4 linked regions of the Oreochromis niloticus genome follow. The protein of the gene in region 4 interacts with the protein of the main gene of each other region in a biochemical or structural test. Links are inferred from orthologs where the notes say so. Each region holds a gene or a part of one and is shown on either strand. Other genes may lie near its edges.

The links.
Region 1: the proteins of erbin (region 4) and potassium voltage-gated channel subfamily A member 4 interact in a test that uses a peptide from one of them, tested with the Homo sapiens proteins (3 studies listed by BioGRID and IntAct, with this or other methods). The link is inferred for Oreochromis niloticus from reciprocal best matches to the Homo sapiens genes ERBIN and KCNA4.
Region 2: the proteins of erbin (region 4) and arvcfb interact in a test that uses a peptide from one of them, tested with the Homo sapiens proteins (3 studies listed by BioGRID and IntAct, with this or other methods). The link is inferred for Oreochromis niloticus from reciprocal best matches to the Homo sapiens genes ERBIN and ARVCF.
Region 3: the proteins of erbin (region 4) and scn4ab interact in a test that uses a peptide from one of them, tested with the Homo sapiens proteins (2 studies listed by BioGRID and IntAct). The link is inferred for Oreochromis niloticus from reciprocal best matches to the Homo sapiens genes ERBIN and SCN4A.

Annotation. Positions count from the first base shown.
Region 1 is NC_031965.2:10,259,429-10,267,205, forward strand, and holds the start of potassium voltage-gated channel subfamily A member 4, read left to right. Parts: upstream 1-4,763; 5' UTR 4,764-4,800; coding exon 4,801-6,273; 3' UTR 6,274-7,484; intron 7,485-7,777. UniProt on the Homo sapiens protein: Voltage-gated potassium channel that mediates transmembrane potassium transport in excitable membranes. Forms tetrameric potassium-selective channels through which potassium ions pass in accordance with their electrochemical gradient.
Region 2 is NC_031977.2:8,250,759-8,258,408, forward strand, and holds the start of arvcfb (ARVCF delta catenin family member b), read right to left. Parts: upstream 3,013-7,650; 5' UTR 2,619-3,012; intron 1-2,618. Other genes in the region: tango2 (transport and Golgi organization protein 2 homolog), read left to right, coding at 5,596-5,651. UniProt on the Homo sapiens protein: Contributes to the regulation of alternative splicing of pre-mRNAs.
Region 3 is NC_031969.2:35,485,933-35,493,789, forward strand, and holds the start of scn4ab (sodium channel protein type 4 subunit alpha B), read right to left. Parts: upstream 3,011-7,857; 5' UTR 2,866-3,010; intron 1-2,865. UniProt on the Homo sapiens protein: Pore-forming subunit of Nav1.4, a voltage-gated sodium (Nav) channel that directly mediates the depolarizing phase of action potentials in excitable membranes.
Region 4 is NC_031972.2:13,430,109-13,437,439, forward strand, and holds the start of erbin (erbin), read right to left. Parts: upstream 3,008-7,331; 5' UTR 2,344-3,007; intron 1-2,343. Other genes in the region: nln (neurolysin, mitochondrial), read right to left, coding at 4,626-4,775, 4,864-5,000, 5,212-5,340, 5,422-5,608, 5,697-5,898, 6,036-6,402, 7,265-7,331. UniProt on the Homo sapiens protein: Acts as an adapter for the receptor ERBB2, in epithelia. By binding the unphosphorylated 'Tyr-1248' of receptor ERBB2, it may contribute to stabilize this unphosphorylated state.

The sequences.
Region 1 (7,777 bases), on a different chromosome or scaffold from region 4:
AGCCTATCCCAGCTGTCATAGGGCGAGAGGCGGGGTACACCCTGGACTGGTCGCCAGTCTGTCGCAGGGCTAACACACAGGGACAGACAACCATTCGCACTCGCACATTTACACCTAGTGGCAATTTGGATTATCCAATTAACCTATCCCCACAAGCTGCATGTCTTTGGATGGTGGGAGGAAGCCGGAGTACCCGGAGAGAACCCACGCAAACACGGGGAGAACATGCAAACTCCACACAGAAAGACCCCGGTCTGATGGTGGAATTGAACTCAGGACCTTCTTGCTGTGCGGCAACAGTGCTAACCACCGTGCTGCCCGCACACTGAATATTTTTTTCAAAATGACAGGAAGCGGCACGGAGATAGGTGGAGCATTAACATCAAAAAAATTCTTCTGCATATCCATGTTGATGGCATGAGTCAGATAACATAGGATGCAAATGTACTGGTCCCTAGTTATAGTGAATTCAATAAGTCGAGACAGATTCATCAAAAGTAGGCAGTCCATCAAAGCGACAAATGATAAATTAATAAATAAATTATTTTGAAAACAACAATTTGTTGTAATGTGTTTCTTTCAACCACAGTGGTTAAAAATCTCAGTATCAAAACAATTTCTTGTTTGGGCCTCAGGAGGAAGTAAAACATCAAGATCATTTCTTACTTTGAACGACTGCCTAATCTTAAAGAATCTGTCTTGACTTATTTAACTGGCTATAAATGGGACCCAGTATATCTGAGTCCTGAAGGCATCATGCCATGAATGAACACCTATTTACTGTTTGATGTAATCAGAGGGCCTCCAGGGTGTGCGCACTCCTGTTTTCATGTTTCATGTTAAAATCAGTTTCAAACAAAAAAAGAAGAGGTACGGTTTCATGGTCTTTAGCCTTACATGTTATTAAATAATGGGCAGCACGGTGACACGCACTGTTGCTGCACAGCAAGAAGGTCCTGAGTTCAATCCCACCATCAGGCCGGGGTCTTTCTGTGCGGAGTTTGCATGGTCTCCCCGTGTTTGTGTGGGTTCTCCCCGGGTACCCCGGCTTCTTCCCGCAGACCAAAGACATGCAGTTAGTGGGGATAGGTTAATTGGTCAATCTAAATTGTCCATAGGTGTGAATGTGGGACAGGTTGCCAGTCTGTCTCTGTGTGTTAGCATTGAGACAGACTGGCGACCAGTCCAGTGTACCCCGCCTCTCGCCCTATGACAGCTGGGATAGGCTCCAGCACCCCCCACGACCCTGAAAAGGATAAGCAATGGATGGATGTTATTAAACATAAAAATCAACAGAGTAAATAACCTGTTTAACCCATCTATGTGTGTGAAGGTTTAACCAAATACAGCAAAGCCCTAACCTGAAATTGTACTAACCCATAATTTTAACTGATTATGTGCTCTACATTTATGTGTGTGTGCGTCACAAACCCCCCCAAAAAACTTCACAGCCATGTGTTACACATTGCTTCTTAATCATAATGGCATGGTGGGTGCCCTCACTTTATCCCCTGCTCAGGGTCCAAGGGCTGGCATGTCCTCCACTGAGCGTTCACCTTCCTGCTCTGTCTGGTCCTCCTCCACCTCATCACCGGACAGCACGAAGTCTGACTCCCCTTCTACAATTCTGAGTAAAGTCCTTTCCGCCTCAATCCTTCCTTTGCTCCTTGAAGTGTGGATATGGGTTGAAAACAGGAATGAGTAAGTCCTCCTGTCCACTACACAGAACACTGACTGTGTAATGGACAGTATTCACAGTTCTTTGCATTTTCCACAGTTTGTCATGTTACAGCCTTATTCCCAAATGGGTTCAATTCATTTCTCACCTCAAAATTCTACACATGATACCCCATAATGACCAAATGAAAAAAGTTTGCTTGAAATTCTTGCAAATTTAGTAAAAAATTATATGAGAAATGGTCATTTTGAAAAGAAAGCCCATGTGGAAACTTGAAACCCTGAGATGTCTCCTTGACAGTAAATTTGAGTAAGACTCAAATAGATTGCATGAATTGTGCTCGTGGAGGTCTCAGACTCGTGTCCCCCCAACAGAGGACAAGAATGAATCGCTGGGTCAGAGGAGGTTAATGAACACTTTGCATTCTGTTTCGAGTGCTCTCCTAATCAAATATCAGAGGGAGGGCGGGCACAGCGAACATGAATTATTTGTTTTTGTGGCCTCTGTGAACATTTTTTGTTGTTGCATGAGCTAACCTTTTTTCCTGTGATAATATTAACAAAAAATAATGTTAAACGATTGTTAGGTGAAGTGAAATTGTATGAAAAGTATTTCCAGTGCTTTAAATTCACACTTTTTTTTAGTTACAATATATGGACGTATGTAAATAAGTGATGTATGCATTTTCTGATTTAATATGAGAAAATAAACAACAACAAAAACACCGATTAATTTGTAGGAAAGTGGTTGGTGACTGCAAAATGAATAGTTAAAATGTTAGGTTAATGTATTACTTTTTTTATGGTGGGGACACACAAACACACCGGTTGCTACCCAGCAGTGACCATGAAGGGCAGATGAAGCTCGGGTGAAAGACTGCAGCACGGTGCGCAGTGACCGGCTGCATCCACTGGGGGAGGACCGAGCACCGCCTGCACGAGCTGCGGTACACGAGCGACTTTCTCACCGAGACTCTCCATCATCACACAGACACACACACGCACACAGACACACACAATGGGAGGGATCCAGGAGTATAGGTAGGGATACGGCGGCAGACAGACAGATGTGCGATGCTCAGACTTAAACCATGAAGCCATCCCCCCTCGCCCGTGCGAAGGTAAACTTTTACCCACCCTCGTATCTTGTCTTCGTGTGGAGCTGTCATTGATGCCAACTCGCTACGCGCACACCTGCTACTTCCTCCTCTTCTTCTCATTCTTTTTTTCTCCTCTGGAGGGGGTAACATTATTGCTCTCGTCGTAACCAGAAGCGATGCAGCAGAAACGGAGGCTGAAGTGGCGATAGATCCTGTTGAATTGAGACAAGACGTCGAGACGCAGCCAAAAAAAGTGTCCTCTCCAGAGTGCGTCAGAGCACGGATGTGTGTACTGGATGTGGATATGGTCGCTGCGTGGATACAGCGAGGGATTTTGCGGCGTTACCCTCCAAAATCATAACGGGGATTTGAGCGAGAGTGAACAACTGCATCCTCACCTAGCCTCTCCTTCCCCTGCTTCCTCCATCAGATTGGTTTGTGAAGAGGGGGGGCGGGGGAGGGGGACTGAGGCGATGTCGTTTTGGCCCCCTTTCAGATGTAAGTATGGATGTTAGAATAAAGGGAGGATACTTTAATGCGTAAATTGTATTGTAACCATAAATGTCTTCCATATCCCTTTGTGTTCACTCCATAGTAATAATGATGATGATAATAAGCATGATGTATTTTGATTGTGTATTCGATAAAACAACACACATCGATATGAAGGTTTTGTTTTTATTTGCCTAAACCAACTGCTGTTTTCTCCTCTCTTCTTGTTCTCGCAGCTCCTGAGAGCGTCAGAGGAATAAAGTCATTCAGATTCACCGGAGCTGTGTAAAATAACAACGGAGATATCTCTCCCCCTCTCTCTCTCTCTTTTAAACTCATCCTAAAATGGCAACCATGAGTGACCAGGGAGGATCAAAAGACGCATTCGGGCGCAAACCCGGCTCGCGGAGAAATTAACCACCTGATGGGCACCGGAGAAACAGAGGAGAGACTGTTTTGGTGTCGCTTGTTGACTTGGTGATTTACAATGCTGAGCAAATAAGGGGCGCTGCAAGTTTGACCGAGCGTCTGCGTAACAGGCTATGCCACCGGCCTTTACATCTGATCTTTTTCCTTCTTTCTTCTTCTTCTTTTTTTTGGATATGGTAATGATGTCATGAAATACCGGAGGAAGGGGGGGCTGTACCTAAACTGGAAGAGATGGCAATCAGTATCATGTAAGTAGGATACATGGGATTCGCTCAGCATGGACCCGTTTGAGGTGTGTTTGCTATTCTGACTTTCTCGCATTCACGACTGATTGGTCGAGAGGCTTCATGCCTCATTTTGTCTCCCTGCGCGCGCTGAGCTGCAACTTTTGTCCTCTGGTCTGCGTCCACATCACAGCGCGCGAGCGCTTACTGTAAGCGTCCGCGGACCGAAGCGCTCACTGACTTAAAATGGAGTTTGCCATGGTGGGCGCGGACGGTGGGTGCAACAGCCACCTGCCTTACGGATATGCCCAGGCTCGCGCGCGGGAGAGGGAGCGCGAGAGGGAGCGCCAGGTTGCCCACACCAGAGCGGCGGCCGCAGCGGCTGCTGCCGAAGGTGGAACGTGCACGGAGGGAGGTGGTGGAGGAGGAGGAGGTAGCTGCGGTGGCGTCGGGGGGTCCACCTCCAACACCTCCTCGAGCGCTCATCTCCTTAACAACCGCCAGCATCAGTCTCGCGCCGCCTCCTCCGCGAACGCCAACATCAGCAGCGGCGGTACCGCCTCGCGCCCCTCCTCCTCCTCCTTCACCTCCACCACCACCACCACCACCTCCACCTCCTCCTCGCAGCAGAACCAGCAGGAGCCCGAGCAGCAGCAGAGATTTGTGCGAGAGCGGAAAAAGCAGCGCGGCGTCGGACGCTGGAGACGGAACCGGGGCACTCTCGGCGGGGACCTGCGCCACTCCGAGCTGGCTCTGCTCGGATCCGAGGAGGACATCATGATAGAGGAGGAAGAGGCCGAAGGAGCCGAGGAAGAGGAGGAGGGGGGGAGGGGGGCGGGGGGGACCGGGGGAGCAAAAGGTCGAGTTTTTTGTGCAACATGGATGATGAGGAGGAGACCGTGTCGATCACCGACAGGCGGCCCCAGTCCGGATATGAAAACGTTTACAGCGAGTGCGGCTGCTGCGAGAGAGTTGTCATCAACGTGTCGGGTCTGAAGTTTGAAACTCAGCTCAAGACGCTCACTCAGTTCCCGGACACGCTCCTGGGAGATCCGGACAAGAGGATCAGGTACTTCGACCCGCTGAGGAACGAATACTTCTTCGACCGGAACCGACCGAGTTTTGACGCCATTCTTTACTACTACCAGTCAGGCGGGCGCTTAAAAAGACCAGTCAACGTCCCATTTGACATATTTTCCGAGGAGGTCAAGTTTTATGAACTCGGGGAGGAGGCGATACTAAAGTTTCGGGAGGATGAGGGCTTCGTCAAAGAGGAGGAGAAACCTCTGCCGGAGGATGAGTTCAAGCGCCAGATTTGGCTGCTCTTTGAGTATCCGGAGAGCTCGAGCCCTGCCAGGGGGATCGCGGTCGTGTCCGTCCTTGTTATTGTCATTTCTATTGTGATTTTCTGCCTGGAGACGCTGCCGGAGTTCAGGGATGACAAAGAGTATCTACAGCCACGAAACAACTCCTCTCAGCCCGATCACGGATTTACACCTTTTAACGACCCGTTTTTCGTCGTGGAAACGGTCTGCATCATCTGGTTCTCGTTTGAGATTATAGTTCGCTTCTTTGCCAGTCCGAGCAAAACTTACTTCTTTAAAAACATTATGAACTCCATAGACATTGTTTCCATTTTGCCTTATTTCATTACTCTCGGCACGGACCTGGCGCAGCATCAGGGCAACGGACAGCACGCGATGAGTTTCGCCATCCTGAGAATAATCCGCCTCGTCAGGGTGTTTCGCATCTTCAAGCTGTCCAGGCACTCTAAGGGGCTGCAGATCCTGGGTCACACCCTGCGCGCCAGCATGAGGGAGCTGGCCCTCCTCATTTTCTTCCTGGTCATAGGTGTCATCCTGTTCTCCAGCGCGGTGTACTTCGCTGAGGCGGATGAACCCACCTCGCAGTTTACGAGCATCCCGGACGCGTTCTGGTGGGCCGTAGTGACCATGACCACAGTGGGTTACGGAGACATGAAGCCCATCACTGTGGGTGGGAAGATAGTGGGCTCCCTCTGCGCGATCGCGGGCGTGTTAACTATTGCGCTCCCGGTGCCGGTCATAGTGTCCAACTTCAACTACTTTTATCACAGGGAGACCGATAACGAGGACCAGCCGCCGGTGGTGGAGAGCATGCCCCCGGGCTGCCCGTACTTCCCTGACTTTCTAAGAAAATTCAAAGGCTCGCCCTCTGGCTCCTCGCTCGGCGACAAAGCGGAGTATATGGAAATGGAGGAGGGGGTGACGGAGTCGCTTTGCGGGCTGGACAAGAGCCCCAGTAAAGGAAACGGCACAGACATAAGCAGAAAAAACAGTACTAACTCAAAATCCATTCAGACTGACGTGTGATTACAATTAGAGTTTATTATTATTAATTATTTTTCCTGAAGAAGAAGAACACGCCCTATAAAGATAATTCTAAACATCATTTCTGCCCAACAGCAGGTGACCCCCTCCCGCTCACACTTCCCCAACACAAGTTTGAAACACGCCTCAGACACACACACACACACACTCACACTCACACACACACACACACGTTCATGCCACTGATTGGCAGGCTGTTATGCTTCATCTCTCTCTTTCCCCTGTTTTTAACCATCGCGCACTTCTCTAACAGCAGCCTTTCCCCCAAACCATCTTCACCACACACCAGTCTATTTGTTCATCTAAGCTGTGCGGGCTTCCAAATCTGACATCAAATTGAAATTCTAGTGAAGACAGGCTATGCATTCGCACTTTATGAGTTTCATCTGTCAATAACAGAGAGGTATAGGGATCGTTTTTGCTGTTATGCAATAAAGTTCAAAATCTGTTTGCACTAATGTAGATTTTTTTTTTTTTGCGCTGGGTTTTGGCAGATTTGTATTCAGAGACAGAAGCTGTAGGCCATGAAAGTGGCGCGTATTTAGTAATCCTCTGACCACTTCGCTAAAGAATGTTTGAACAACTTCCTCACAGAGAGCAGACTAAGGATATTAATAATCCCCTTTATATGCTGCCAGTAAAAGTAAAGAAAAAAGAAAAAATTGGAAACGAAAATACGGATAAGTCTTTTGTAACTGTTCCAGTATTTAACATTAAAGAAAAGCTAACTGATAAGACAGCATTTAGTAAACCAGGGCTACAGTTATTTCTATGACACCTACACAACTATGTTTTTCCACAACAGGCCAAAAGAAAAAAAAAAAAGCCTTGTATTGCTGACCCACTGCGAGAGCTAAGCACAGGAATTATCAGTTTATAAAATGGCTGGAGAAATGACTCGCCCCAGGTTTTGTATGGACATGCTTGTTGGAACCTCGGTGACAGCAGTTTTCCCCAGTTTCATTTAAAGCACCTCAAAATGACAATATCCCTTTACAAGGAGGCAGATGGAAAGTTAAAGCAAAAATGACTCATCGTGGAAACTCATTGGAGGGGAGCTTGCGAGCAATTTTCTCTCCTGTCTGCTGGACTTCGTGCACAATTCCTTTCCCCCCCACCCCGCCTCACCCCCCCAAGAGGACTGCGATTATCTGCGAGCTCGGAGGATCGTCATGATGTGGATGTCTTCCAAGGTATGTGGCCCACAGCTTGTGTGTGAAAATGATTTTTTTTTAAACAACCTTGTAATGATCAAAACAGCTCCAGTCACGTTTTTAATGGAAAATATATGCCACTAAACAAGGTCCCATCTCGAGATAAACACTTTTATTCCGAGCACGACACCCTCACTTTTATTTTCAAACACTCCCGTGTTTCTTTGACAACAGAACCACGCGTGAATGCGCGTGCGTAAAGCCCTGTAGACGCTGGAGGAATGTGGCGCACATTTTTCCAGTCTTCATGTGGCCAGTTGATGTTTCTGCTG
Region 2 (7,650 bases), on a different chromosome or scaffold from region 4:
TTGAAGGCATTTTTGAGGCTCAAAATGTGGTTATAGTGTCAGGGTTACTATTAGGTTATGGCTAGGTTTAGGCTTAGGGTTGGGATTAGGCATTCATTTTTGATGGTTATTGTTAGGGTAAGCGGCTAGGGAAAGCATTATGTCAATGAGATGTCCGCACTAAGATATGAAAATGAGTCTGTGTGTATGTGTGTGTGTGTGTGAGAGAGAGAGAGAGAGGAGAAAAGTATACAACCAAAAGCACTGTATGAATGTCTGTGTACTTGTAATACGTTGGTCAGTAATGCTGAAGGACTATGATACTTACAAAGTCAATTTTTTTCAAAACCACAAAGGAAAGCCACCAAAAATACCAACTGTGTAGCAGATTTACCAGATGAGTTTTACCATTAAGACAGGAGCATATGCCAAATTATATTTGCATATTCTATTAAATTAATGTTTAGATGCACATAAGACAATTTTAGCCTTGTTTTTCCAGCTGCAGGCCAGGTGCTACCTAATGGTCTGAAAGCAAGTAAAAAATAAAAATAAAAACAGAATTCAGATGTAGATTTAGTTTACCAGCAGATTTAACATAAGCTCCACAGATGCAAACAGGTTCACTATATTTGTATTATATATTAATGATTACAGAATAATAAATATTGAAGTATATTGAAGACTATAAATCCACCAAGGTCTTCCTTGGTGGAATCTTCCAGGAATGGTGGCAATCCTGAGTATTGACTTGTCTGTAGGCAGGGAGTTTGTATCTGTTAATCTCTTATCTTTGACATAACCTTCTTCAGCACAGAAGAATAAGTTGAAGAATAAGTCTGAAGAATAAGTTGCCATGGCAATGTGCCCTAGTAAAAATCAAGCATAATTATTGCACTGAAAACCCAGGTTTAAACCTGAAGTTACCACTTGCTGCATAGTGCAGACCTTTGGCCTCAGATCTCACTACAGTGTCACCACTCTTTGGCTGGTCACTCCATACATATTCCTTACACAAAAGAGTGCACATACACAGACACCCATTATGGTGGTTTAAGCCTCCAATTAAAAGCATTTAATAATTTATCTGTGTATGTCCATGTTCCACTTGAAAGATTCGGCATGCAGGTCGTGGTATATCTAAGTGATAACTCACACATCAACTCAAGGTGTTCCTATCCAACGGACTCCACCAGTCAGTTGGATAAAAGTTTAAATGTATATAGAAAACTCAAGGAAGTCAAGTTGCTTTCACTTAGAACTTAGATAAACCTGTAGTCAGGGTTATCCCAACATTTAATGGAAATAATTAGTATTACTATAAAATTGTAATGAAAAAACCCAAGCATCAGGCAGTTTGTGAAATAGTCACAAAATATAAAGTCTTATTTTGTTAAATGGGCACAAATTTTCCATATTTTTGAGTTCTATGTGGCTATGAAGCAATAATATATTAGTAGGATACTTGATTTGGTTTAGGACAGCTGCAACAGCATGTACTGTCTTAGTCCTTGTAACATGTCATTTTCCTTGCTAGGCCTCCTTTAATCACATTACTGTTCCTTTGACCTTCTACTGGAAGTGACTTAGACAGTAAGGAAATCAGAGTCAGATGTAAACACTGATTTGTCTGAGCTGCTCACTTGCCATCCAATTGCCAAAGACACTTTTTAAAAGCAAGTGTAAACCTAGACCTAGACTGTTTGTATGATGGTTCACAGACAAAGCCTGCTGATCACAGTTTTTAAGTTTTAAAAAGTACCCTCATGTTCATCTGGAAAGAAAATTATAAGGCTGTATAGTGGGTTCGTAGATGATCTGTTGATGGTCAGTGGGGCGGGGTTGCAAAATACCAATTTAACGTGCTTTCGTTCTGAATGTTGAGTGTCACAAAAAAAAGATTGGGTGACGGTTTAGAAATTTCGATTTGCCACGAGGCTGAGATATAAATTAATTGCACAGTTAATTGCTTTAACAGCGCACCTCGAGGCCATCGGAAGGCTATCGAGTGTGAAAAGCCTGATCAGGATACATCAGTGTCTATTGAGAATAACTTAATTTGAGGCCTCGCTCTTTCAAAGCATCCACTTCACTCGGGCGTTTGCGTGTATACAGCACTATACCCAACAACAGCAGCACTCTATCAGTCAGCCGCCCCTTCTCCAAATAAGGTAATTAGAGTAGAGAAACCGGAAGACTCTCCATGGAAACTCACTTATAAACAGCACGAGCGAAAAACAATAGAGCAGTGAGGATGAGATGATTGACAGCTCGTGGCGGCTCGCGCTGCCTTTGACTGCATCCGTGAATGTTTACAACACGAGAGCACGCGCAGATATATTCAGTTTCATCCAAGCCTTCGCTGTTATATTTTTTTTTAAGCAGCATTAAATATATCTCTTCCCACCGCGCCACCCTAAAAACGCCTATTTAAACAATGAATGAGCTAAAGCTTTAACCAAATAACACCGAGTCCAGTTCATTACACTTCAGACGAGCACCTGCTCATGTCACTGAAACACAGCCCGCGGGTTATTGTGAGCTTTCCTGATGTTAATTGATATTTTTGTCACACTCGCCTCCTGCTGAGAGAACAGGATAAAACTTGCGAGATAATAACAGAGCTGTATTCTGGTTACCTCAGTTTCTCCCGGTCATCGTTGCTCCCCGCAGGCGAAGTGACTCCCCGTTGTGATGAGCAGTACTCCGAGCTTCACCGCGAACGCCGTTATTTTTGCCTGCAAGTTAGCCTAGCTGCTGCAGGGAGAGCCTACTACTCTCACAACCTGCCAAATCTCTCAAACTGGAGTTGGCAGGTTGCTGTCGGCGCGTCCCTTTAGTCGCTCCACATGCAGAGGGGAAGAAAAAATTAAAAATAATAACAAACAGTAAACCTAACCTAACGGGCTTTGAAGTTATTGGACGCACTCGAAGCGGCTAATAAATATATTAATTGGAGACTGCGAAGTTGTATTCTAGTGTATGAAAGGCAGAGCAGCATTTATCCCGCTCATCCACAACAGTGCTGGATGCTGTCGGTCACAGCGAGTGTCTCCGCCCCATTCAAACTACTATTGGAGGAAAATTAACCTTATTCGATTATTCATAAAAAGACTTGTTAGTTTCAATGAATTTACTCTTGTTATTACATTTAAGTTTTTCTGTCAGCGAATTAAAAAAAAATACTATTTTGTTAAACCTTCCATTAAATTTCATATACCTCTATATCAATTTTTCATTTCATTTTATTTTATTTTATTTTATTTTATTTATTTTATTTTATCAGTTTCATCTTGAATTTCTCTGTAAGCTTCTCCTATCTATTGATATGATATGATTGATGTCAATACTACATCGTGAAGCCCGCGGGAATACAAAAAAGACGTCTACAGAACATTTTTCAAATTAAAAGTGTTCCTTATTCGGAACAATGCTACCCTGTACTACAGTCTATGCGTTAAAACAAATGACAATATAGTTTTCAGTTATATCGTATTGTGAGGCATAATCATGTTAATAAAATAAACCCTGTTTGCCAAGCCGTTTTTTTCTTTAATAATTGTAACATTAAAAATACAGTTCTGACACTAATGCTTTTATTTTGAAAATAATGCTAACTAAATCGGAAACCCTATTGCTTCCGTTTACTGCGAGCTTGGCTGTTCTTGCTTTGTAAAACGACCAATCACACTGGAATACTGAGCATTTGCGCTTGTTTTATGTACGTAAAATCCAAAGGCGGGCGGGGTTAAGGTCACCTCACAGATAATAACCGGTCACGTCGGATTTTTAGCCTTATGAAACGACTGACGACACAAATCGAGGTCACTCTTTGTGAGTACTTCCTTTTAGCTGTCAACCCCGAGTGTTGATGGGTGGTGAGTACAAAGAGCCGACACAACAGCAGTAAACAGTGTAGAAGAAAAACGATAAGCCAGATATCATTTGCAGTATATTGTTTCGCACATAACTAAGTTTGGGTAGGTAGCTAAAGTTTGCTGGGTTTGTGTCCTCGTTATACTGTTAAGTATTACTAAGCTAACGTTAGCTAGTTATTTATAGGTGAAGTTATCCTGGAACTCATCGTTCACCTAACCACATTACTCGACTAATATTTTGTCTGTGGATATGCTACTAAGCTAGTTCGTTGGTGTCTAGCAAATATTAATGTCCTGCGACAATGCTAGTCGCTCGTGTCCTCGTATCATTCAAAATGTGTAGTTGATGTCAACTGTGACAAGTTGTCACAACCCTCTAGCTTCATAATATCAGCTGATTATTGGGGTCGGACTAGCGAGTCATTAAATGTCATTGTGATATATGGCTAAGTTTACGACTCTACTCACTTGCTACCTTTGCACTCATTACAGTTAGCATACTGTAGCTGATGACTTGTATCCCAGTCCTTCTGAATATGGGGCAGGACATGACCACACAATATACTGCAAAGACAGTAATAAAATGGGATTAGCATATTCTATAAGGGGAAACCGTTTTTCTTCCACATATAAACTCGGTGCTGTGTGAACACAGACAGAGAAAAAACCTTTGAGTGGCGTGTTCTAAGTCTGGAAACAATGTATTCAGAAAGTTTTCAGAACTTCATTCGCCTCAAAATGACGGAACAAAAACGTAGAAAATATGTTAATTAAAAAACGTGAATATCACATTAACTTTGTTTGATTAGAGGAGTGTCACCTGGGATCTATTTTCAGGTTTATACATAGATGTTTGTTATTTAATTTACAAACTGTCGGTGGGTTAAATCATGAGTCTGGGTGGGGATCCCCTTGGCAGGTTGAACGTCTTGTCTTCCCCCCAGCTTTGCCAACTCCAGTAGTCTATATTGTCTATTTTCTGGTCACTCACTCTTGTCGCTCTCAGGCGATGAGAGGACTTGGTTTCCTCAGGTTAGAAATCTTTTTTCTCATAGTCTGATATGAGGAACCTCCTTCTGCCTGCCATCTGGGCCATAAACCGGATATCACTGGAGTACTGCAGTGATGAGTGTCCTTTTGAAGGTTCTCTCATCTCCACACAGAATTTCAGTAAGAACGACCACTGGGTCACTTCTACTAAAGTCCCTGCTCTTTCGGTTGATTGGATGGCCTGGGAGTTCAACAGTTTTAAGAGTCCTGTTTATTCCAAACTGCTTTCATTTAAGCAATATAAAGGCCATCCTGTTCTTAGGAACTTTCCCTGCAGCAAAATGCTTTGCGTGCTTTGCAATGCAGCACTGTTTCTGATGACTGCAGGAACTCTGACTTGGCGTGGTTTTTACTCTGACATGCATCATCAGTCATGACTTCTATAGGCAGGTGCCTTTCCAAATCTAGTCTGGTTAATTAAATTTACCACAATTTCAGTCAAGTTTTTGAAACACTTCAAAGGAATTCAAGAGAAATAGGATTTAAAGTACACAAGGAGTTTTTTTTTTCTCATTAGTCATTTTTGTTTTTGCTGTGATATCGCAAGATGTGGGAATTAGATTGTTTGTTTTCTTTAAAGGGTATTCAGAATAACTCCTTCTATATTCTTCTCTTTGTCAGGTATGGCTAAGATTTAGAGGCAGATGTGAACCACGTGAAAGCCCTGCCATCAATCCCCAGCACATCCATGTGTATAATTTTCTTCAAGTTTGACCCCCGGCCTGCATCCAAAAATGCCTACAGGTAAGGCAGTTAAGTCATGCATTAAATATACAAGGACTTGAAGCAAGTTCTTGACAAACAATAGAGCTGTCTCATATGACTGTAGGTAATAAAGCAAAAACAAGGTAAGCACAAAAAACAGGTATCAGCAAACCCTCTCGAGGCATTGTCAGCCACAGAACTGCACACTCTGAGCAGAGATTTTAGTATCTTGCCTAAGGACACTCCAGCAGAGACTCTAAGTGCAATATTACTCTTCTAACCTCGTAAATCAAGTGTGTAGCAGCAAGTGGAGAAACATTGTGGTTATGTTAATGTTATTGCCACCTCTATGTGCTATGTTTTAGCCGGTGAGATGATAAAAACTATGGAACATTTATGTTCTTATGCAGATTTATTATGTAACTGTTTGTGCCGGTTTTAAATATTTTACTTGGAGCATGTTTCTCAAAATTCGTAGTTAACATACAGCTAACAAACTCTTGCAATGTTTTTTCACATCTTTGCTGTGATTCCCTCACAAAGCTGGATACTTCCTGCAACTTGGAAAGTTATAAACAGCCTCTCTGCCAATTTTATGAAAGCACTGACTCTTTGTGCAACCTCCGTGTGCCCTACCCAGCAGTAAATGCTAACTTCTTTTAGTGAGCAGCACAGATCAGTGTAGTACAAGCAGTCAGTGTGAGTTACAGCCTGATGGTATGTGGAGCCCCAGCTTATTATAATCCCCCAGAGCTTGAGAGCAAGCTCTCTGCCAGGCCATTGTCCATCTTTGTCCTTCCCTCTGGGAGTCTGACCTCACCTAAGGAGATCACAGCAGAGGTGTGTTATGAGTACTGACTCAGACCTGAACCTGGGGAAAGGTGAAACGCACTGTGTCCTAATGCAGTATCATGTCTGCTATTTATAGACTGTACTGGCTGCAGAAGTAGTTTTGATTTACACATTCGACTGAGCCAAAGAAAGGAATATGCAGCATGCTAAGATAAAATTGGATTGAAGGCAGAATTAAAGTTTCATTAGGTGCAATTATTAAAGCGCTCACAGCACAAAATGACAGGAATGGATCTGCGGGAGTTAAATGGGTTAATATTCCACACAAATGACTCGCTGATTACCCGCATGCTGAGATCTCTGTACTCAGAAACGCAATTTTCTAGTCTCCACTGTGTTTTTTTTCTCCAGCTGCTCAGAACAAAAGCACTGCAGCAGTCCGCCAAATAGCAGTGCAGTATGATTTTGACCTGGATATATTGTATCACTTCTCATTAAGGTTAGTCATTTAAACATAATATAAAAGCGCCACTTGCAATCCCTTCAGCCAAAAGATGATGCTGATGTACTAAACAAACAGCATAATGGCAGCCCTTCATAGAGCTTTTGTAATAGTTCTTTATCTCATGTTGCTCATGGCTCTTTGCAAGTAAATTATAGTATATGATAAATAGACTGGTTCTTATATAGCACTTTTGTACTTTATTTGAGCACTAAAAGAAGAATACAACATACCTCATTCACCCCACATTCATATAAGCACTTTCTTCTATTTCTTAGTGCTTAGAAAGCCACCAACCTTCTGATAGTGATCAGAAGGTTGGTGGTTGACCTGCCCCACCTCCTGAGCTGGAACCAATCCTAAGCATGTATTCATGATGTAAGCATGTTGACACTGTAACTGACCAGCAAATAAAATGACTGATCCTCTTGGGATACGGTCACTTTATACGATGGCAGCATGCCAGTTAGGTCATCACTCTGACCCAACCTCAAATGTCTTGACAGCAATTGAAGATGTCCATGCTTTTGGTTACTTTCGTTATCTCCAGAGGATGATAATGAAAGTCTAGTGACTTTGGGGATTCCTTCATCTTTCTAGACCCACCATGAGGTTAACATTAACATTCCTAGATGCAAATTTATCAAAGGCTCAGGAAATTATCCCATGGGAGCCACATGTGTTTGGATACATAAGTCACTGTGTTTGTTGAATAGAAAGAAATCAAAGTTGAGTGTCGATGAG
Region 3 (7,857 bases), on a different chromosome or scaffold from region 4:
GCAGCTGTAATTGCAGCAAAAGGTGGTTCTACAAAGCATTGACTCAGGGGGCTGAATAATTACGCACACCCCACTTTGCAGTTATTTATTTGTAAAAAATGTTTGGAATCATGTATGATTTTCGTTCCACTTCTCACATGTACACCACTTTATATTGGTCTTTCACGTGGAATTCCAATCAAATTGATTCATATTTGTGGCTGTAATGTGACAAAATGTGGAAAAGTTCAATGGGGCCGAATACTTTTGCAAGCCACTGTAAAACAGGAAACACGAGACACACGCTGAGACACGGACTTGCCATAGGGACTGGGAAAGAACAGGCATGAGAACATACCTCACTGGGCGAGACACAAGCAACACAGGGAGACTAACTAAATCCAAGAACATTCAAAGCAAGACACACAAACACTGGGTTCCTTTTACCCATGACCATGCAACGCGTTCTCATCCCAACACGTAACATACCGACATGCGACAAATCGCCGGTATGCTACGCGTTCGCAGGCATGAGATCCAGATGGAATTAAACTATACATGTAAATGTCTTTTACATATTGATCATGAAGCCCTTTGGAAAACACATCTGACAGGGTTATGTGTTGGGAATGAGAATACTCTGGAGCATGACAGGCTCTTCTTTAGGCTGTCGTGGGTTTTCCTGGGGACCTAAATCTGGATTACACTTGGATAAATCTGTTGCATTCTTATTTACAAAGCCTGGGGCATTTATTGTTCAAAAGAATGTCGTGGTAGCAGACGAAACTCAAAAATTCCAAATCTGTCAGCAGGGATTTGGGCTTGTTGTGTCTACAATCATGCAGCAGATGTGATGAAATCTTTGGGACCTAATGTGAACATGTCACTCAGTGGGAGACAAAAGGAAGAATCTGTTTGGGCGTCACATGATGATGATTTATCATCTCAGGCAGCCAATCCAGGTTCTCTAGCTTTTCACTAAAAGGATTTTAATTTTCACCAATCACGAACATGGATGGCTGTAGAGTTAAGAACAATCTGTACTCCCAGACAAATCCAACTAAATGACAACATACCAGCATGGTGAGCAGGTTTATGAAATTGCAGAGTAGCATACACAACCGAGCAGCTCAGTAACTGATAGTCTCTCATATTCATACTCAACCAATAAAAACAAAGACCTCAAAACCTCTGGCAATGTGAGCTCTGAGAGAGCTTAAGTAATGGAGAGATCTGATTGGTCAATAAATGGTGGTTTTACATGTAGGATCTCTTGTCTTCAGCATAAGTGCCTGCTGACTTAACCTACCCAACACGGGCAGCAGCATAATTTATGTATAGAGTACAGGCCTGTGAGGTGAGGTTAGAAGCTGCTAGCACACGTGATTAAGCTGTCACACCTGTCGGTTCTGAAGCAAAGCACGTTTTAGCAACCGGATATGTGATCTTCAATTTAAATGAAATGTTTCCTGGTCAGAAGCTGCCACCTCATCTTATAGCAAACATAGCATCCTGATCTGACACTAATAGTGCTAATGTGACCAGCTCAACGCCATTTCCTGTGGCAGACTCTTAACCTTTTGGTGTGACCCTCCTCTGTTAGTGCTCAGCTTGGCTGCAACCACACAGAGCTATATTAGAAAGCAGCAGTAGTTGGTCCCAGCAGTTGTTAATATCTGATCCCTGATCAGCTTCTTCACTACAGTCAGCTGGCCTATAAATAATGTCTGCTGGCTTACCTTAAACTCTAAACCCAGTCAGTGCTCCGTCTTATAAAACCCAACCCTCTTTACAACTATTAAAGTCTGAGTCGCATTTAGCGTGGATAATGTAGCATAGTAATGCTAACCTCCATAATCACAAGGTGCTGCTGCAGTGTGAAACTCACTGATACACGAGATCAACGACACCATCTGCCAGAAAGATGTTAAAGAAGCAGCTCTGGTTTCTCAGACTTACACATTGGGCAGTAAATAAGAAGGTCCAGAAAAAAATCAGACTCCACGGTCTCTGCGTCAGACACTTCAGACGCTCCTGCTTGTTTAAACTGTGAACTAATGTCATCTTACGCTATCATTCCCTCAAGCATCTTTCTTGACACGTCATAAAACCATGGCAACAAGACAAATTTATTTTACCTTTTTATATTTCTAGCAGCAAAAGCATGAAGTGAAACAATCAGAGTTCATCCTCATAACTCGATCTTACAGACACTCAGGTAGCAAACACGCCAAACCTGCAAGCACAGCCCACTCAGCTGAACATTCCTGTGAGGCTTTAACACAAGTTTCAAGTAGAGAGGCTGGTCACTATAGAGGGAATTCAAAAGTCCAAACCTGCCTGGAAAGATTAAATGACTGATTCTCTGTGTTTTTGGTTTGTTTTTTTAACCACCATCTTTGCAAAAAAGAAGAGCAGTTTGATTAAAGTGAGTCTACTTTTGATTTACTTTGATATTTTGTTTCATTTAAGCTAAAAAGTGTCTGATGATGTGCAGATATGATGACAGAGGGTATCAGGTTAACAGCAACGCAACAGGTGTAAGACACACACACACACACACACACACACACACACACACTGTGTACTGAGAAGCAGGACAATAAGGAGGATCGGTTGTTTCAAAGTGAAAACTAAAGCATGAAATGTTGTTCTTACATTTAAATCAGAATCCAAAGCACTTTGAATCTTTGGTGAAAATTGTAACTTTAGACATTTTTAGGAAAAGTTATTCAGACTATCAGATGAAAATGTCTCTTTAATTATTACAAAAAACTGCTCCATAAACAAACGAAAGGTCAACAGAACCTATAAAATATAAAATATATAAAATCTATAAAATCTTATGTTTCACTTCACGTCTGAAAGCATAAAGTTCAGCCTCACCTGCTTCTGCTGTTTCTTCCACAATAAATCCAGTAAACATCGGTCACAGCACCATGCTGCCTGTCCGTATCTCTCTCTCTGTCTCACGTCTTCTGGCCTTGCCTTACTCTACGTCTCTTACTGAAACTTGAGAGGTCAGGTAGTGTGTCAGCACACACTCACACACACAAAGCCACATGTTCATCAGTTCCCATCAGAACTTTAGAAATTCCTTTCTGACAACATAAAATTATCAACCCCTCATTTAAAATAATAAAAGAGACATTTAGTAAGATCAACAGATTAATTGGTCAAAAATAGATTTGTTTTTAAAGCTGCATGATATATGGCATGTATTCCCATTTGAGACATGACAACCGAGGAGCTTAAATCTAAAATGTCTCTTGAAAGCAGAATCTCACCAAGGATAAGTTAGATTCAACGTAGTGCTAAGTTTTTATCACAACAGTCATAAAAAGGTTTTATGCAGCCATGAGAGGAATTGAAAGTCCTGCAGCAGCACAGAGTCTGGGTCACGTGATCACAAACTCATTTTAAATACATGCATAGAAATAAATGAAACTGTCCATACACTCAAAAAAATGAATGAGGTGGATTGTTCAGTGTATATTAATTGTTTATTTTCATTTTACTTAAAATATATTTTTTTGTTAAGTTAACATATGTTTTTCTAATCAAGTCTACGTAATTGTGTCTATTATTCACTGTACATAATACTAATGTGTTACTTGATGGCATAACATTTAAGTTAAGTCAATTAGGATCAATATACTTTGTATATCCACTAGGTGGCAGTAATGCAAAAACAGTTGTAATGAAACCGCGAAGAACAACAATGTTTCACGGCTTGGGCCTGCTCATTCGCAAGACTTCAAATTTAACTTAAAAACGTTGTTTTGGCGCCAAGCTGCTGTTTCTTTGAGAGGTAAGACCACTTTTTTCTTTGACTATGTTTTGTAGTATCTACATGTCGAGCATGGTTATATTTTGCGTTTGTCTTATAAGACATGTTATATCGTTTGCGTGCGCTTGTTCTACAGTGCGTGAATGGGTGAATGACTGAATGTAGTGTAAAGCGCTTTGGGGTCCTTAGGGACTGAGTAAAGCGCTATACAAATGCAGGCCATACATTAGTTTTACTGGGTCCTGGACATGCTTATTTTGTGGACTGTGTAAGAAACATTTTTATTGTTTTTGGTTTTTTTAAGGGATTAGCTACAGGGGTTCATGGGGTTATTTTTTCATTTACTTTCTTGGGATTCCTTTACTGTAATCCGAGAGTCATAAATATCGAATAGGATAGCAAGGATAGCATAAAGTGACATTTAAAATCCAAAAAGTCGAGGGCGAAAGCCACTGTGACACCATTGTTATGCTCTATCAGTAATTTGTATTATGTAAAAATGGTCTGTAAATACAGCATGTTTCCTAGCGGAGTTATACACATCAGCATAGTTATAAATTACAGTTTGTTAAATCACACACTTACTTTTTTAAATAAAATTATTCACAACATATGAGTGGGAAGACAATGGAAGTCGACAGACCTGGTGATAATTGCTTCTATAGAAAGTTAGAACATGGCAGTGTCAATCTCTTGCTTTTCTTCTGAGTAGTATTTTATTTAGTTGTAATACAATCAATAATTTGCTTCTTGAAATTAAGTAATGAATTTCTTGTTTTACTGTATAAATTTCAGATCCTGCCTTTACCTGATGTGGTGTATGTGGTACTGCTGAGCTTGTATGTGGTATGTGAACTGTTATACTTTTAAAAACAAAACTGTTTTATAAGTTAATTTTTCTTTAGTGACCCATCCCATGCCCCTGTTATTTCTTCTCCAGATCTGAACCATTGTAAAGGTTGCAGTTCAAGGGCCTGAGGTATGAAATTCTTTTCAGATCAGCTGTGATCAATATTTTTTGGAACTTGATAAATAACAATAAAAGCTGTGATGGCTCCATTAGCATTTTGTATAAATGTTTGTGTTAAAATTATAGCTTTAATGAGGTCTTTCTACATTAGTTAGGGTTAGGGGTTAGGATGAAAGTTTGGGCCCCTCCTCCAATTGGAGGCGGGCGGTGCACGGGCCATCCCTCGGTAAGGTGCCTGGACCCCGGATTGTCCACGGCGTCTGCCATAACGCACCAGGGTCCAGTCTGAAGTCCATCCAACCATGGTGAGTTGGATGGAGGCGTGTGCTTTTTAATTGGTTTTCCTACCAAAATTTAAATTAAATTTTTGACTTAAATTTGTAAGTTTTAACTTAAATTTTAAAGAAATAAGGGTTAGGGGGGTTAGGGTTAGGGATGTGGAATTGAGTCCGGTCCCTGAAGGGTCCAGACGGTGCTCTGTCCATCCCTCTGCCTCTGCCGCTTGTCCCCTGCTGGACACGTCTACGGGAAGGCAGCCGCCCTCTCCCGTGACGCACCACCGTCCAGCCCTCCGAGTCCATCCGGGACCCCATGTCTTGAATTTTTAATTTTTTGTTTTCTGTGTCTCTTGATGTCGCCTTTGTTATCTTTATTTAATAATTGTTTTGCTGTGCTATTTATGTCAGTTAGATATGAAAATGTGTATATGAATTTACAATCACAAACAAAGGCGAGAAAAAAGAAAAAACGTAAATGAAATTTGTGTTTTTAAATAAAAATAAAAAATAAATGAAATTAATAAAGTTTTTTAATTTTTAATAAGTGAAAATCAATGAATTACTGTGCCCACTGCCGCGACGTTTCGACCCAAGATAGGTCTTCCTCAGGCTGGGGCACAATGAATTTTAAGCTGGGAATGCACAGAGAGAGAGATGTTGTCTCTTCAACGGTCAGCTCCCAAATGAGCTCCTCTCTGCTGTGCAGCCTTTTATAGGCTTGGTTTCGTGTACGTGAGTTTTTGAATTTTGGATTTGGCAATGTGTTTTCAAATGTCTGTGATGGTTTTAGACTACAGTGAATGTGTGTTTTTTAACCTTTGTAATGAAATTGTATTTTATGAAATGTATTTTGTAAATTATGTCAATTTTTAAGAATTTTATGTTTTTGAAGTGATGTATATAAGATTTAGAAATTTGTAGTTGTATGTTTTAATCCAATTAGGTTTTTATGAATTTTTTAGGTTTTGCAGAGAAATATATTTATAATTTTAAACTTGAATGAGTATGTTTAGTCACCGAATTATGTTTTTATGATTTTGGGGTTTGTATATTTAAGCAATATTGTGTTTTTAAGGGTTTTAATAAAGTGTGTGATTTTAATGACTGTTGTTGTGTTTTAACTGTAAATTATGAAGTGATTAAAGGGGTCATAAATCAAATGTCATGTTTTTAATGGTTTTAATAAAGTTTTGATCCCCAATATGTCCCAATTCCCCATTTGTTGTTTGTTGTACATAATTTGTGATATGTAATAATACATTGTTGTTTATTGTAATCAAATATTTATTTATTTATTTATGTATTTAGAGGAATTAACCCCCCAAAAAATGGTTAGGATGAGAGTTTGGGCCCCTCCTCCAATTGGAGGCGGGCGGTGCACGGGCCATCCCTCGGTAAGGCGCCTGGACCCCGGATTGTCCACGGCGTCTGCCATAACACACCAGGGTCCAGTCTGAAGTCCATCCAACCATGGTGAGTTAGGGATTAGGAATTTGAGCTTTCGTTATTCCATATCTATGGTTAAAGTGCACTGGCAAACAGAGGTCCGTAGGTCTCCACCCCATTACTCCTGCATCCTCTGTACTATATGACTTTTGTTCTCTACCATATCTCTTAGTGGGTCTTTTAGTTGACTTTATTTCATTATATATTAGAAATATAAACACATTATATACTTCTTTTACCCCCGTTTCATCTGAAAAAAGAGGGGGGGAAAAAAAGAAATCTATTTTTTTATATTTAAATCCTATACCATCTCCCCTTCCTACAGAAAATCAGTTTACAGTGCTCTTATATACAGTGTGATTGTTAAGCAAATCATGCCTAGGGGGGAGGCAGTGACTAAATAGATTCCACAAACTATGTACATTCATATAATATGATTTATATTTCAACTATGCTTGTTATTAATCATCAAATTATTTACGATGATCTTACTGCTGTTTTTAATATCTATTTTCCCACAGGTGGCAAAATTATCGTCCTCTATTTAGAGGTCATGACCTTTAAAACCAGAATTCCTGTCATCTCAGGAGATATTATGGTTCAGGTTCTTATACTAAGGTAAGTTGAAATGGTTTTTTTTTTTTTTTTTTTTTTTTTTGGGAGAAACAGACCAATTTACAAGACCATTGCAATGTTATGTATATAAGTTGACCCCCAGAGGCATACAGTAAAATTAAATTAGTGCTAATCATTTAAAAATCGATCACATCTCTGCAGTGTGAATCACTTTATTCTCATAGGAAGAAAAAGACATCAGACAGCCTATCAATATCACACTATTATCTCCAATTTAAACCATAAGGAAATCTGCTGTTCAGTCTCCCAATCCACAACTCTTCATGTCTCCTCCTTTGTCCCTCCATCCGTGTTGCACAGGATTGTATCCCCAGGATGCCCAGGGAGTTCAACGGGTGTATGTGGAAATGTTGGACCAAGGGAGTGTGTAATCTGCTTTCCCCAATGCTGTATAGGTGTTGTTTTAACCTCTCTACGAGAGTCTGGCCGGTTTCCCCAACATATATCAGAGAACACTGTTTACAGACAATGCAATACACTATGTTTTTGCTGGTAGGCCTAAATCTTTCCAAGATTGGCGCTCCAGCACCACCGTGTGGGTTAAATAGGTATTGCCTCGGATTTAAAAAATACTGTTCTAAGCTCCGTTTCCTCCCCTGCCAGTGGCCCCCGAGTTTTGTTCGGACCAGCATATCTCTCAAATTTTTATTTTTCCGGTTAGCTGTTATCACCCTACAGTTATGAAAAGGCTCTATGTCGGTTAAGAGACTATTGAAATTCATTTTAAAGGTGCTATTTAAAGGTAAGTATGAAATAGA
Region 4 (7,331 bases):
CTAGACATGCTGAAGAGGAAACGAGCACTTGTATGGTCACAGAAGCAGAAGATTAAGGAGGGGGGAGAAGGAAAAAAAAAAAAAAAAGGTTTCCTACGTGGTATAAAGCGTCATCAGAAAAGACACACCTTAAGATCCAGTGACAATGAAAAGCACCATGTTACGTACTTGTTTAACAGCCGACACCAGATGTAAACAGAAATAGATAAGCCTGTACAGCCACTTTTCCATCAGTAGATATACCGCTGACTCTGAGTTTAGCAGGATCACTCATTGTTTAAGAAAAACTTTTAACATGATATACCCATAAGTAAACCAGACTCTGTTAAGAACATGAAGTCAAACAGTTTAGAGCTGTTTCGAAAGGAAAAAAAAGATAGTTTTGAACCAGTGTACTTACTAAAGGATATCCAATTCAACATACATAGAGATATGGAAGAATTTCACAGCTAAACCGACATTGATTTGTGGATTAACACTTATGCCAACATGTCTGGTGTATAATAAAGATAAGAAACACAGTTTTACTGCTTTTGGCAGTGTCTTGTCTCCGACTGACACAACAAACTTTTAGGCAAGTGGAACAACACTTCTTTGCCACCTGTGCGAGAAAAGAACAGTAGAGGAAAGAGCCTTTGTTACAGTGAACCTTATCTTCAGTTCTAGATAAGGTCTGTTGTAAATGATCACATGAGGAACTTGATAACCAAAATGCCATGACAGGCCTTCAATACCTCAATGAAACCAGTGTACTGTAAGAATACGACACACACTTCTGTTAGTGATATACAAAATATCCATATACCAAATACACAGCTTTTCCCGATGAGTGGAAATGTGTCTACAAGAATACAAAATTAGTGTAAACAAACACCTTTGGGAAAACATCCAAAATTCGGGCAATTTTCTGCTTACACTATATATACACTTTTAGTCAGTTTCATTACCAATACCTGAATAATCTTCTCCAAATAGCTGAATATCAGCTTGTAGATAACGGGCCCATAACATTGACAAGCAGGGGAAGATCGAGCCTAGTCTTTGTTTACATTTTATTACAGCTGGGAGAGCCTTTGAAGACTGATCTGATAAGGTTTCTGTTTGCTTGACTGACAGCTCCAAATACCAAATTCAACGTTTGAGTTTTAAATCACCCTGGAAGACATTCATGTGAGATTGAAAAATTCAATTACAAAACACTGTGCCCAAAATGCACGTATCGTATTGAAAATGAACATGTAATTGTTCTGCAGTTGTGTATGTATTCGCACAGTTATGGTTGCAGTAGCCTTTGATACCTCCACGCACTTGAATTTTGAGTTTAAATATTACTTTTCATTAAATGACAATCTGTTATCATGACATCCATAGTTAGTATCTCAATCTACTACAAAATATTATCTCTGGCAACACTCCACCTGGTTCAGTACGTTTGTAAAGTTATGTTATGAAATCTAAGATAATCTACACAGATGCAGAAATATCTCCGATTCACCTCTTAACTGTACTTTATAGTCAATTAAGTTCCAGTAAGAAGTTGACACATTAGCGGATTTAATCTAGGTATCTTACTAACGACACTCGATCCCGGGCTTATTACTTGTCTACCTGAGCGTTGCCTTCAAGGTGCCCTGAGACTCAACCTGATTGCATCTCCTGACACCATTTCCCAGAGCGGTGAATGACGAACACTAACAACAAGTCGACAGGCAAGGACAGACCTGCTGAAATTCCTCAGAATAGTCCTGAATTTATCCCGGATCTTAACGGGATTAAATTACAGTGGAGTTAAGTGAGGACACTAATCTGATTAATGAAGCGGCGAGAAAATGAAAACGCCAATATGTTGATAAGTACGGCGCGCTAATCCGTCCTAGACGGTGTAGGCGCAACAAAAGATGCGAGTGTTGCTATTGCGGCGCAGTTATTAATGGCTGGTTTTAGGAATAGTATCAACACTTATAGACTGACAGCTTTAAATGTACTACACCGCTTTCTAAAGCGAATAAATTAGTGCCAAGTGAGCTACATCGCAAAGGGGCAACAGCATACACAGCTGCTGATGCGAAACCTTCCGAAAACACAGATGCTCAAGTCTGTTAATACAGTCCAAAACCTGTTGTTTTAAACCAACAATGCTCTCACAGCCATTACTAAACTACAAGCACCCAGATAATACATTATCGTATAATTCCACATTTAAAATCAACCGCATTAATGCGAGACTTCAAGTGGGACAACCTGAGAATGGGACCTCAGCGATACAACGCTACAGCTAGCGTTAGCATGCTGTGTGGGGCCCCGCAGACAGAAGCAGTAACTTGCGCAAACAAAGAGACTTACCTGAGTTACTGTCGGGTCAGCGTCTCATTTAATGATATCCAGCTTATGTGAAGGCTGATACTACCCAACAAACACCTTGAGAAGTGGGCATTAGCTGGTTTCACTGGTTTGCTTCACGACAGTTCAATTGGGTCTGGCTAGTGTTAGCAGCTAGCTAATATTGCCTTACTTAGAGAGCAACTCGAAGCTGGCCCAGTGCGTACATTCTCCTCAGCGAGCCGCCCTCAAGTTTAACGTTGTCCCTCTCAGTTGTTTTGAGACATAAAAATATTGCCTTGTGGCACAGCCAGACTAACCGACGACGAAGACAAGCGCAAAAATGGTCCTTAACTGATGCAAATTAATGACACAACATTAAAAAAAATCCAAAATGTCCACTACATTCAGCAAGGAAATACAAAAGGCAAAACTGCGAACCACCTCCGGCACAGCGAAACCTTTTCCTCTAAAGTGTGCCGCACCCAGATGTTTTCGCTCATAATTTCCAGGTCTTTGCTCATTTACAATAGACGCAGCTCTACTGACTGGAACGAAGCTACATTGAGGCTGTGGGGCACAGCACGAAGCGGCGAGTTTCTTCTCTGCGACCTCCGCGGGTACATGGAGAAAGCTGTCCACCAGTAGTCGCCTTTCCAGCCTCACCGAGCCCCGGGGACGACGCTTTCACTATCTCACCCAGACACTGCTAGTGATTCCGCTTATCTTCCTCTGTGCATTGACTTATTGACACTGTTTTCCCTTTCAAATAGGCTACACAGGATATTCACACAGACTGCAAATGCGTATACAAACCAGACCGACAAGGGATTTTATTAAACCCATTTACATATAACGTACAAAAAATAGGTGTTTGTACGGTTTGCAGCAGCCTTCATTACTCTTGTTATGTCGTGGCGCCCTCCAGCGAAGATTTTTGCATTTCACTGGAAATTTAAATTAAATAGAATAATATGGCCTTTTTTCTGGAGATTTAAAGATAGCTCAAAGATATATCCATTAAAATAGCCAAGTGCCTTTCAAGGGTAGAATTTTCCACATAATGTTTGACGGGTGTGCTCAACGTAAAAGGCTTGAACAGTCTAACGTCTAGTGTCAACCCTCTAAACGACTTAATGAAGTTGTCAGGCCACCAAGAGTAGGTAGCTGATAAATGTAATATAATGTGGCAGCAGAAAGAAGCAGTTGAAAACAGTTTTTTGACTATATTGTAAATCTAGTAAGGGTATGTTAGCGCCTATACTTGGATACCTGTAACTTAAGCCTGCTGTTACTATTTTTGTACCCTTGACATATCTGATCACTGCATGGAAGGAAATTCTGACATGTCACAGCAGAAGTGATGGCATAAGTAATGAAATTAATGACGAGAATGTATGTTTCGAAAAAGAACTATTGTGGAAACCATATTATTCATATTCTTTAATATAAAGAAATATCCATTCTTTATTGTACGAGTGTCAAACATAGGGCCCAGGGGCCAGAAACGGCGGCAAGGACTCCAATTTGGCCTGCTGGATGGCTTTGGAAAATGTGGAGGGCTTAAATTATGGACATGAGTTCTACAGCACCATGGTCATCCACACAACACCAAAGTAATTATGTAAAAGATAAACAAATAAATGACAGAAAAGTAGTTCCCATTTTTTCAGTAACTACTATAGAAATGTTTTTTTCAATTGGTTCATAGTAAGACAAAATAAAGAGAAACAGATCATTTTCTCTGAACTAACAAAAGCTTTCTGCTTTATAATTACAGGACAGTCCTGGCAATGAGCAACCAGAACCTTTTCTGTAATTTTATAAATTTCTTACAATTTAAACCCCCCAAAATTGTGCTTGTATTTAGTATGGCACAATTTTTTCATCATGTAGAAATAAAAATGAGACAAACTGTAGAAATAAAAATGAGACAAACTGTAGAAACTGCACTTCTTGTTCATATATGAAGATATCTGATGGATTTAATGTGTAGTTGAGCTTCACTGGTCTGGCCCACTTAAGATCAAATGAAGTTGTATGTGGCCCTCGAATTAAAATGAGTTTGACATCCCTGGTTTACTGTTTTAGTAACACCTCTGCCATGACGAATTAAAAAGGCTGTAAAACACATTGAACATGTCATGACGAGGCCCTGTCGTGATGTACTGGACATTTAAACAAAGGCAGACAGAACTCTAGTATGAAATCCTGAAGATAGTAATAATACCTTATTTCTCAACTGACATTTACCTGCATCCAGATATAATATAATAATGACAAAAACAGTTAAAGATCACATCAGATTACATTGATGCTTCTTGTGAGTTAACCAGTCCTTTGCATTGGAAAAAGGCATCCTGATACGGCGCACGTCCGAGGAAGGTTTTCACCATGTCCATCCCATCCACAGAGCCTCCAGCTTCCAGTATCACTCTTCTGTACTCTTTTCCAACCTGTGTTCAGGGCATAAATGCACATATAAAGACAGTTTCAAGAAAAATAAGACATCATTAGAGTGAAATGTTCAACCAGAAAACCAACCTTTGGATTCATAATGCCTTCCTTTTTAAAACGACTGAAGAAAATGTCCATGGAGTAGACTTCGCTCCATAGATAGCTATAGTACTGACCATCATATCCTCCAGCTAAGTGGCTAAAACTGGCTGTCATGTTGGTTCCTGCAGAGAGCAGATCTTTGTTACAAATCGCTAATACAAATTCCAAAAAAGAAAAACGATAGTGTCTGTGCGCTTCATACAAAACACTGAATACAAACTACTAATGCCCAGAGTGGACTGTTTATTATAAAATGTAAATCCGCATCACTGATAGAAATTCTAATGCAATAATTTCTCAAATATATTCTAAATAGCTGAAGCTAAAGCTGACCTGGTGTAGCAGGAATACCCAGGATGTCCTGGCAGTGCTTTGCAAACACCTCAGCAGTGTCTGCACGTGGGCTGGTGTGAAGCGACTGGTCCACCTTACTAAGGACTACCTGACGTAGGTTCATAAGCCCTGAAGTGAACACATCAACAGAGACTCTTCACTTACACATAAATGTAACAGACTTTTTTGTGCAAAGTTTAGGTGTCTGACCAGTGTTAGCAACTCTGGAGGCAATCAGTTTGTCGAGCAGCTCGTCTGGGATGGAGGTACCATCTTTGTAGTGACAGGACATTCTTCTCAGAGGCTCCTTTTCCCAAACCCAGTTCTCAAGCATTTGAGACGGCACCTCCACAAAGTCTGTCTCCACCATTGTTCCGCTGAATTCTGAAAAAGCAGTCTGACGCATACACAGAAAAACTAATTTTTATTCATAAGCACACAGTATATAAATATCAATAACTTCCTGACTGAACATAGCGACTGACCTTAGAGCAGATTTCGTGCATGACATGACCAAACTCATGAAAATAGGTCTCCACTTCATGGTGTTGGAGGAGAGAAGGACAACCTTTTCTAGGCTTGGTGAAATTGGCTACCATGGCCGCAACCGGCAGCCTGCGCTTTCCATCGGGGCCTCTGCAGCCAGGCTGGAGCCCAAAGCAACCTGCGTGGCCATATTTTCCCTCCCTGGTGAAATGTCACAGTCAGGCTGAAGTCTATCACACAGATCAAGAGCTCTAGTGAATGTTAGTGAGCTCACACTTCATAAAGACATCAAACACAGGATCTTATCTTGTCTCTGAAAAAAATGACACATAATCTACCTTGGATGCAGATCCAGGTAGAACTGACCAATCTCCTCCCCTGTTTCAGTGTCCCGGGCTGAGTACAGCTTGACATTTTCATGCCACACGTCAGCCTGTTCCACCTCTGTGAATATGAGACCCAGCAGCTCCTGGTAGATACCAAACAGCCCTTCTGTCACCACATCAAGAGGGAAATACTCGATTAGTTTGTCCTTGTCCACAGCAAACTTGCGCTGCTCCACTTGATTCATGTAGTAGGGTAAGTCCCAGGCATTAATCTTCTCATCAAACTGGTAGCCCTTCATCAGGCACTCCCTCTTCTTCAGCGCAAGAATGTATTTCCTCTCTTTGATTCCCACGGGCTTCAGCGTTTCATGGAACTTGTCTGTAAAGGCAGAAAAAGAAAAACTCCTTAGTCGGAATGTGAAGCATGCAATTTTTTTGAACCTTTTGCTGTCTACTTTCTTATCTTCTTTTTAAAGCCCAAATCAAACTAACTCCCTTTGCACACTCAAAAAAAGAATATGAAAGTTGAACGTTTTTGTAGAGGAAATCTGTTCTAAATCTGCAAATGCTGAATATTCAAAATTTGTTGTTTGCATTGAAAACTATTAGTGCGGTTCTGGGTTCCTGTGTGATATTTTTTGAGTTTTGGTTCCTGTTTTGATTCTATTTATGTCATTTCTTATGTTTCCTTTCTTCTTCTTTCTGTAGTATCCCACTGCTTCCTTGTCTTTGTCTCTCTGTTAGTTCTCTTGTCTTTCTAGTTTACACTTCCTGTTTTTACTGTGGGAAAAACTTTTCTTTGTGCCTCTTGTACTTTAACCTTTTGCTTTTGTTCTGATTCTATGATTTATTCTTACTGAGCATCTCTCTGTGCATGTATACAGTCTTGTCTTTTTCCTTTGTTGGACTTGAATTTCTGTGCTTCTTGTGCTCCTTTTGTGAGCTCTGGTTTATTTCACTTTTTGAGATTAAAGACATGCTTTTAGTTGTTCAACCTGATTACAGCCACTACTAATTATAAAAAGCTGATGTTGTGTAATTTGTCATTAGTAACTGATTACATTTCACCCTGCATGTTATGTGACTGCGTGTGGAGTTGCACACCCATTCATCTGTCCTATTGAGTTTCTTTTCCTACTTTAAGGCAGTTATCAGGAGGCGGGAGAGCTCATCTTAAATGACAGGGAATGTTTGCATGTGTATGTGTGTGGCAGCGAGGTCAGATGTCAAAGAGACCATACCCAGAAAGTCAGACACGTTGCTTGCATTTTTAGCCATGTTAATCTCCAGCACATACTCAGCATGGCT